Linked DNA regions of Xenopus tropicalis. Each later gene encodes a partner of the first gene's protein in a complex. Links are inferred from orthologs where the notes say so. Each region holds a gene or a part of one and is shown on either strand. Other genes may lie near its edges.

What was found.
Region 2: dpm1 (region 1) and dpm3 share a complex: the UniProt entries of both Homo sapiens proteins name them as parts of the dolichol-phosphate mannose (DPM) synthase complex. The link is inferred for Xenopus tropicalis from reciprocal best matches to the Homo sapiens genes DPM1 and DPM3.

What each region holds. Positions count from the first base shown.
Region 1 is NC_030686.2:35,640,421-35,644,237, forward strand, and holds part of dpm1 (dolichol-phosphate mannosyltransferase subunit 1), read left to right. Parts: coding exon 1-2; intron 3-477; coding exon 478-546; intron 547-1,447; coding exon 1,448-1,562; intron 1,563-3,817. UniProt on the Homo sapiens protein: Transfers mannose from GDP-mannose to dolichol monophosphate to form dolichol phosphate mannose (Dol-P-Man) which is the mannosyl donor in pathways leading to N-glycosylation, glycosyl phosphatidylinositol membrane anchoring, and O-mannosylation of proteins; catalytic subunit of the dolichol-phosphate mannose (DPM) synthase complex.
Region 2 is NC_030684.2:145,949,431-145,953,976, reverse strand, and holds dpm3 (dolichyl-phosphate mannosyltransferase polypeptide 3), read left to right. Parts: upstream 1-1,543; 5' UTR 1,544-1,586; intron 1,587-3,112; 5' UTR 3,113-3,168; coding exon 3,169-3,447; 3' UTR 3,448-3,789; downstream 3,790-4,546. UniProt on the Homo sapiens protein: Stabilizer subunit of the dolichol-phosphate mannose (DPM) synthase complex; tethers catalytic subunit DPM1 to the endoplasmic reticulum.

The DNA.
Region 1 (3,817 bases):
AGGTAAAGTGGAACAAGTGCCCTCCCTTGCCAGAAAGCCTTTTAAATTGAGACTTGCCAGTTTGGCGAGGTTGTATTCTTATCATGGCACAACTAACTCCCAAAAAGAGACACCCCATTGTATCATAACCTGTGAACAGATATTAACCTGTCACAGTTTCTAGTTAGTCTTAAAGGGATACTGTCATGATTTTTATAGTGTACTTTTTATTTCTAAATGACTAAAATTCTAAATTAGGTTTGTCTGTATAAAGAAAATTTTTCAGCACACAAACAATTTATTCAAAGCGCAATAACACATTTTTTACCATATATATGACACTTATTTTAATATTTGGTGGCATTATGACATCCATTAAACTATAAGATACCTTCTGTGAATTTGTTGTGCTTGAGAACTGTGTACTTACTGACACTTTTGTGAATTACCTCCATATATCCTGGTTGGCTTCTCTAATCCTTGTGCCTTCCTTTACAGCCGGGGGGCTAACTTTGTAACTCAGGTGTTGCTGAGACCAGGTGCCTCTGATTTAACCGGAAGCTTCAGGTATGTAGTTCTTGGTTTTTTTTTCTTTGTTTTTTGTTTTTTTAAACACGAAAGCAATTCTGAAAGCACCAATAACATCAAAATAATATAGTGATGAACTGCTGTAACAATAGGTAAGTCTTATTCCCCCTTAGCTATCTTAACAGCTTTACTTTTAATCTTGGCCAATGCAGAACTGCACTGGCCGGGGTGTATTGGGCGAGTGTTCATTGTTCCTTCTTCGATCTTCACTCATGCACAGTACAGTTAAAAGCCAACTTTAACAAAAAAGCTGTCTTTTTCGCGCAACTGGGCATGTGTCGGCCCCAGGATTCTGAAGAAAGAAGCCAGAAGGAAGAGGAACGCTTGCTCGCATATGGCCCGGGCCTGTGCAGTTTTTTCCTAACAGGAGAAATACTTCCCCCTTGCCTCTGTCCCTATATATTAGGTACCTATATAGTGCTACCAATCCCTATTTCTGTAGGGAAATGAGAGCAGAGCAGGCAGTAACCCCTCCAACACTTTCCCCTGTCTCTGCCCCTATATATTAGGTACCTACCTAGTGCTACCAACCCCTATTTCTGTAGGGAAATGAGAGCAGAGCAGGCAGTAACCCTTCCAACACTTTCCCCTGTCTCTGTCCCTATATATTAGGTACCTATCTAGTGCTACCAATCCCTATTTCTGTAGGGAAATGAGAGCAGAGCAGGCAGTAGCCCTTCCAACACTTTCCCCTTGTCTCTACCCCTAAATAATGGGCAATTACACTTTACAGCATGGACAGTTTATTTCTGTCTGCATTGAACCATTGAACTATATACTGGTGAAATCATTATGCTCTTTCTTAATGGATATATTTAATATCTTTATATATAGACTATTCATGGTGTATAATCAAAAAAATGTTTTAAATAATTTACAGGTTGTATAGAAAAGATGTGCTGCAGAAGCTGGTGGAGAGGTGCGTCTCGAAGGGCTATGTTTTCCAGATGGAGATGATTGTCCGAGCTCGGCAACTGAATTACACCATTGGAGAGGTAAGACCAAGGATAGAACAATTAATTTTGAGCTAAGAAAATATCTGAGATAACTTGAATAATTGCTTGCTTAGGAAGACAATCCCTATGCTGCCATAGTTTTATGGTATCTCTCTGTACAGGCTATGAGCAAACTTAGGGGGCTGTTCCTGCTGAATTGTGCTTAGTACAGGGGAATCCCTATGCTGCTACAGTTTGATGGAATCTTTCTGTACAGGCTATGAGCAGACTTTGGGTGTGATACCTGTTATACCTCTGCTTGTAATTTTTAGTTTCAGTAACCAGTCCCTTTTGGCCTGCCATGGCCCCTGTACCTTTAGGTCACACACCAGGTCATATAAGTTTCGCTTCTTGAATTTGTATAGATTATAATGATGAGTACTGAAAATGATTACCATTTTCATAAAAGCTAAGGATAAGCAAAGGTGCAATAAATATAATTATTTATATTTTCTTGAATCAGATACAAAGAGGAAGAAACCAATGGTATAACTGCCATTTACTGTACCATAAATAGAATGCTCATGATAGAAAATGTTTCTTAAAAAATCACCACCCAGAGGACAAAATGAAAATAAAACAAATTCACTTTTAAAATGTGTATCTAATATTTTAATTCTGATGTAATTATATGTACTAGAATTATTATATAGTATGTAATTATTCATCTATTGGCGTATCAAATGCAAAAGTCAGCTGTTGTTTCTCTGCTCTATGAAAGGGACTGTCCTTTGCACCCCTAACTTCCCCCACCCTCAAAGTCCTTGCCATCTCTCATAATGCCGGGGGTTGTTTCAAATCAGGTCACATGATCTGAGCGCAGGATACAGGAACTGACATGGTTGCCTGGGGCAATAGAGATATGCTAGTAAATATAGGGAGAGGTTGTCTGGCTAGGAAACCTGACAAAAAAGAGGCCCATTGTCTTCATCTTAAGGATTGTAGGTGCACAGTGTCTAGCATTCCAAATACTAACTTTCTGCCTGTGGATGACTGGGCATGCTGGGAGTTGTAGGCAAGCTGCTGAGTAGTAAGCATATGTGTTTTGGGCTTTGGGTAAGGCATATGAAATGAATCCCTTTTTTGGATTTTTTTTTACAGCATAAAGCATTGTACATTTCCAGGGTTAGCAGAGAAAATAGTGTTCTTTTCTCCATGTTTATTTTAAAACTGTATTGTTTCATAATGAAGAAAAATGATATTCTACGCAACTTTCCAATATACATTCATTACATATTTCACTGTTTAAATATCATTGCAGTTGAATGCAGTGTCTGTCTTCCCTTTCTGTTATCTGTTTCTGACCCAGAAGTCCATTCTTCTCCAGGTCTGTTAATCAGCTGCCCTCTGCTCATTCTGGAGTGCAGAGAATAGATAGGCAGACACTGCTTTTAAGGCTAATGTCCCATGAAGAGATTAGTTGCCCGTGATCTCTGCTACCTTGGGCAACTAATCTCTCCAAAATGCCTTTTCACCAGCAACAAAGGGAATAGGCAATGGAAAGGCCTGCGCATCGCTTTGGTTTCCCGTGGAACATTAACATAACAGCAAGAATATTTCTATTTTAGGGCCAAGACACACGGAGCTACTTATTAGCTTGGTGCTATAAGAGACATAAAATTGGGCTGAGGCAAATGTTCAGCCTCAGGGCCAAGGATCTAGAGCTGCTGGGCAAAGCAATTATGTATTTCTTACATATGTTCCTAACCTCCATTTCTGCTACTCTGATCTGCAAGCCCCCTCTGCAGCCCCTTATTTGCATGTCTCCGCCCACAGCAATTAAATTATTTGTAATTATACAGAGCCTAAGGACTATGACACATGGCTTGTAAATGCCAGAAAATACCCTGCCATAGACAAAGAAAACACAGAGACAATTATCAGCATTGTTTATTTTTGTAGCCATGAGAAGTAACTGCTACTAGTAGTTATTAGGGTAAAGACACACGGGGCAATTAGTGAGTCTCGACTAATCTGTGTAGCGAAAATTTCCGGGCGTTTAGTCGCAGTGACTTCTATTTTTTCCTATGGCGGAAAAGTCACTGAGATTAGTTGCCACAATGGACTTTTTAAAAAGTTGCAGCAACTAATCGCCCATTGTGCCTTTGTCCTTAGGGTGAAGACACACAGAACTACTAGAATTTGTACTAAAATAGACAGTACTGTCCTCCTGCAGGCAACTTTGCGCGACTTCTGTAAACAAAGTGATGCAAAGTGCTTTCCACCGGTGACTCCTATTGTTGCTGGTGGAAAGG
Region 2 (4,546 bases), on another chromosome or scaffold:
TATTCCCACCCAGGGGCCACAGTATATATAAGGGCTCACTGTGTATGGGGGGCTGTATATTCCCACCCAGGGGCCCCAGTATATATAAGGGCTCACTGTGTATGGGGGGCTGTATATTCCCACCCAGGGGCCCCAGTATATATAAGGGCTCACTGTGTATGGGGGGGGCTGTATATTCCCACCCAGGGGCCACAGTATATATAAGGGCTCACTGTGTATGGGGGGGGGCTGTGAGACCACCCAGGGGCCCCAGTATATATAAGGGCTCACTGTGTATGGGGGGGGGCTGTGAGACCACCCAGGGGCCCCAGTATATATAAGGGCTCACTGTGTATGGGGGGGGCTGTGAGACCACCCTGCTCCTGGGAGAGGACAAGGCTCACTCCCCTGTCAGTGCTCGGTGCACCCCCGCGTCCCGTTGCCTGATGGATGGGCCCAATGACAGATATGGGATTCTTACAATCAGAGCCCCCCCCCCGGCTGCCTAATGAGCCGTTCCACCTGCTGTATCCAGGCTCTGGAATGGCCCATGAGGGGCTTCCCTGGGGGGGGGGGCACAGGGGCCCGGGTCAGTTGTGGGAGGGGCAGGCTGGTGCCACACAGTAGCCATTACTAACGGCTCTGTAACAATACAGCATTGGGCCGGGGGAGGGCGCCACTGAGGGGCCCAGTTTATACAGGAGACGCTGCCCGTTGCTGAACGCTCAGTCAGGATGAAAGCAAACCGGCCTTCCTAGATTTTCCCCCCTATAATAACATCGTGCATCATTTTTACTGGGCAGGCAGGTAAAATACCGGCCAGGTGGCAACTCTATTCCCAACACTACTGCGAGGGGGATGCTGGGAGTTGTAGTCCACACTTTACAGTCCAGTAACGAGATGTACCTTTACTAGGGACACATAACAGAGAAGGGTCCAGCTTTAAGGCTAAGATACAATAACCAACCGGGGATAACAGTGGGTGGGGGTTCCGTTCCGGGGCTCACAGGTCAAATGTAACGCCTTCCTCTCTGCTTCCCGCGCATTCTCAGGCGCCTTTCCCCTCTCACTCACATACGCATGCGCACAGCGCTACCTGGCGTGGCTCTGCTCCATCTCCCATACTGCACCGCGCGCGTCAGTAACTAGCCAAGCGCATGCGCATTGTCCCGCTAGCAACATGGCGGCAGATAGCTTCAACTCCATCTCCCATGCTGCACCGCGCGCGTCCCTAACTAGCTCAGCGCGTTGTCCCGCTAACAACATGGCGGCAGATAGCTTCAACTCCATCTCCCATGCTGCACCGCGCGAGTCAGTAACTAGCCCAGCGCATTGTCCCGCTAGCAACATGGCGGCAGATAGCTTCAACTGCATCTCCCATGCTGCACCGCGCGAGTCAGTAACTAGCCCAGCGCATTGTCCCGCTAGCAACATGGCGGCAGATAGCTTCAACTCCATCTCCCATGTTGCACCGCGCGTTATGCTACGCCTATTCATCCTCGCCTGCACGTTTCTCCAAATGCTGCCGTGTATCTGCGAGCGGCGCTGAGTGATGAGGTAGAGGGGCGGGGCCAGCAGTGACATTTATAAAGGGAACAGGTAGGTACTGTTCCCGAAGTACCGGGATAGTATGGGAATAGCGGGGAAAGTACTGGGAGAGTATAGAACGGGAGTGTGGTACTAAGGGATTATGGGAGGGAGCAGGGGCTACTGGGGGATAACATAAAGGGACTGGCGGTACCGGGGGATTATGGGAAGGAGAGGGGTACTAGGGGATTATGGGAAGGAGAGGGGTAATGGGGGATTATGGGAAGGAGAGGGGTAATGGGGGATTATGGGAAGGAGAGGGGTACTGGGGGATTAATGGAAGGAGAGGGGTACTGGGGGATTATGGGAAGGAGCAGGAGTGGTGGGGGATTATGGGAAGGAGAGGGGTAATGGGGGATTATGGGAAGGAGAGGGGTACTGGGGGATTATGGGAAGGAGAGGGGTAATGGGGGATTATGGGAAGGAGAGGGGTACTGGGGGATTATGGGAAGGAGAGGGGTACTGGGGGATTATGGGAAGGAGAGGGGTACTGGGGGATTATGGGAAGGAGAGGGGTAATGGGGGATTATGGGAAGGAGAGGGGTACTGGGGGATTATGGGAAGGAGAGGGGTACTGGGGGATTATGGGAAGGAGAGGGGTACTGGGGGATTATGGGAAGGAGAGGGGTACTGGGGGATTATGGGAAGGAGAGGGGTACTGGGGGATTATGGGAAGGAGAGGGGTACTGGGGATTATGGGAAGGAGAGGGGTACTGGGGGATTATGGGAAGGAGCAGGAGTGGTGGGGGATTATGGGAAGGAGAGGGGTAATGGGGGATTATGGGAAGGAGAGGGGTACTGGGGGATTATGGGAAGGAGAGGGGTAATGGGGGATTATGGGAAGGAGAGGGGTACTGGGGGATTATGGGAAGGAGAGGGGTACTGGGGGATTAATGGAAGGAGAGGGGTACTGGGGGATTATGGGAAGGAGTGCTGGGGGATTATGGGAAGGAGAGGGGTACTGGGGGATTATGGGAAGGAGAGGGGTACTGGGGGATTATGGGAAGGAGCAGGAGTGGTGGGGGATTATGGGAAGGAGAGGGGTAATGGGGGATTATGGGAAGGAGAGGGGTACTGGGGGATTATGGGAAGGAGAGGGGTACTGGGGGATTATGGGAAGGAGAGGGGTACTGGGGGATTAATGGAAGGAGAGGGGTACTGGGGGATTATGGGAAGGAGAGGGGTACTGGGGGATTAATGGAAGGAGAGGGGTACTGGGGGATTATGGGAAGGAGAGGGGTACTGGGGGATTAATGGAAGGAGAGGGGTACTGGGGGATTATGGGAAGGAGTGCTGGGGGATTATGGGAAGGAGCTCTGGGGGTGCCTAACTAGTCCTACATAAGCAGGGGATGAGGGGCCCCGCTGCATTAAGTGTAAAGGTGTTGGGGAGCAGCATGGCTGTACCCACATTATTAGCTTGGTTGGGGGGCACTAACTTCACCCTGTGGGTAAGGGGCCAATATGCTGTAATGCCGGATCACATCATAAATAAAGGGGAGATCTCCAGTTCTGTTACCATAGTTACGTTTGCCTTATGTCCCCTTAGGTAGCCACATACCCCGGGACACGTTGGCTCCTGCGCTGGCACTGACATCCCACCATGACCAAGCTGGCAGAGTGGCTACTGGCACTGAGTGTCCTGGGGGCCGCCTGGGTTACCCTGAACTTTAACTTGCTGGGCTTGGATCTGCCCCCGCCCCTCCAGCAGCTCCTGTGGCCCCTGCCTGTTTATCTGCTGGTCGTGTTTGGCTGCTACTCTCTGGCCACCATTGGCTACCGCGTGGCAACCTTCAACGACTGCGAGGATGCGGCCCGGGAACTGCAGCAGCAAATCAGCGAGGCAAAGAGAGACTTGGCCCTGAAAGGCCTGAAATTCTGATTATTCCTCTGGGCACCGGCGCCCCCAGTACGGACCAACGTGGCACCCAATGGGCAGGGTTTCTCTGGCGCCCCCAGTACGGACCAACGTGGCACCCAATGGGCAGGGTTTCTCTGGCGCCCCCAGTACGGACCAACGTGGCACCCAATGGGCAGGGTTTCTCTGGCGCCCCCAGTACGGACCAACGTGGCACCCAATGGGCAGGGTTTCTCTGGCGCCCCCAGTACGGACCAACGTGGGACCCAATGGGCAGGGTTTCTCTGGCGCCCCCAGTACGGACCAACGTGGGACCCAATGGGCAGGGTTTCTCTAGTCTGATAAATAAAACTTCTGTTTATCTGATATGTGATACCTGTGTCTCTTATGGGCAAGTGCGGGGGCAACTTAGCTGCCCTGTGTTCCATAAAAGGTAGCCCACCCCTGATTGGCTATGTATTGCCCATGTGACTGTATTCCCGCCCCTCTCCCACCTACACAGAAAGTACCTCCCCCAGATACCCAGGGAACCCCCTGTACCTCCCCCAGATACCCAGGGAACCCATTGTACCTCCCCCAGATACCCAGGGAACCCCCTGTACCTCCCCCAGATACCCAGGGAACCCCCTGTACCTCCCCCAGATACCCAGGGAACCCATTGTACCTCCCCCAGATACCCAGGGAACCCCTGTACCTCCCCCAGATACCCAGGGAACCCCCTGTACCTCCCCAGATACCCAGGGAACCCATTGTACCTCCCCCAGATACCCAGGGAACCCCCTGTACCTCCCCCAGATACCCAGGGAACCCCCTGTACCTCCCCAGATACCCAGGGAACCCCTGTACCTCCCCCAGATACCCAGGGAACCCCTGTACCCCCCCCCCCCCCAGATACCCAGGGAACCCCTGTACCTCCCCCAGATACCCAGGGAACCCCCTGTACCCCCCCAGATACACAGGGAACCCCTGTACCTCCCCCAGATACCCAGGGAACCCCCTGTACCCCCCAGATACCCAGGGAACCCCCTGTACCTCCCTCAGATACCCAGGGAACCCCCTGTACCTCCCCCAGAGATACCCAGGGAACCCCCTGTACCTCCCCCAGAGATACCAGGGAACCCCC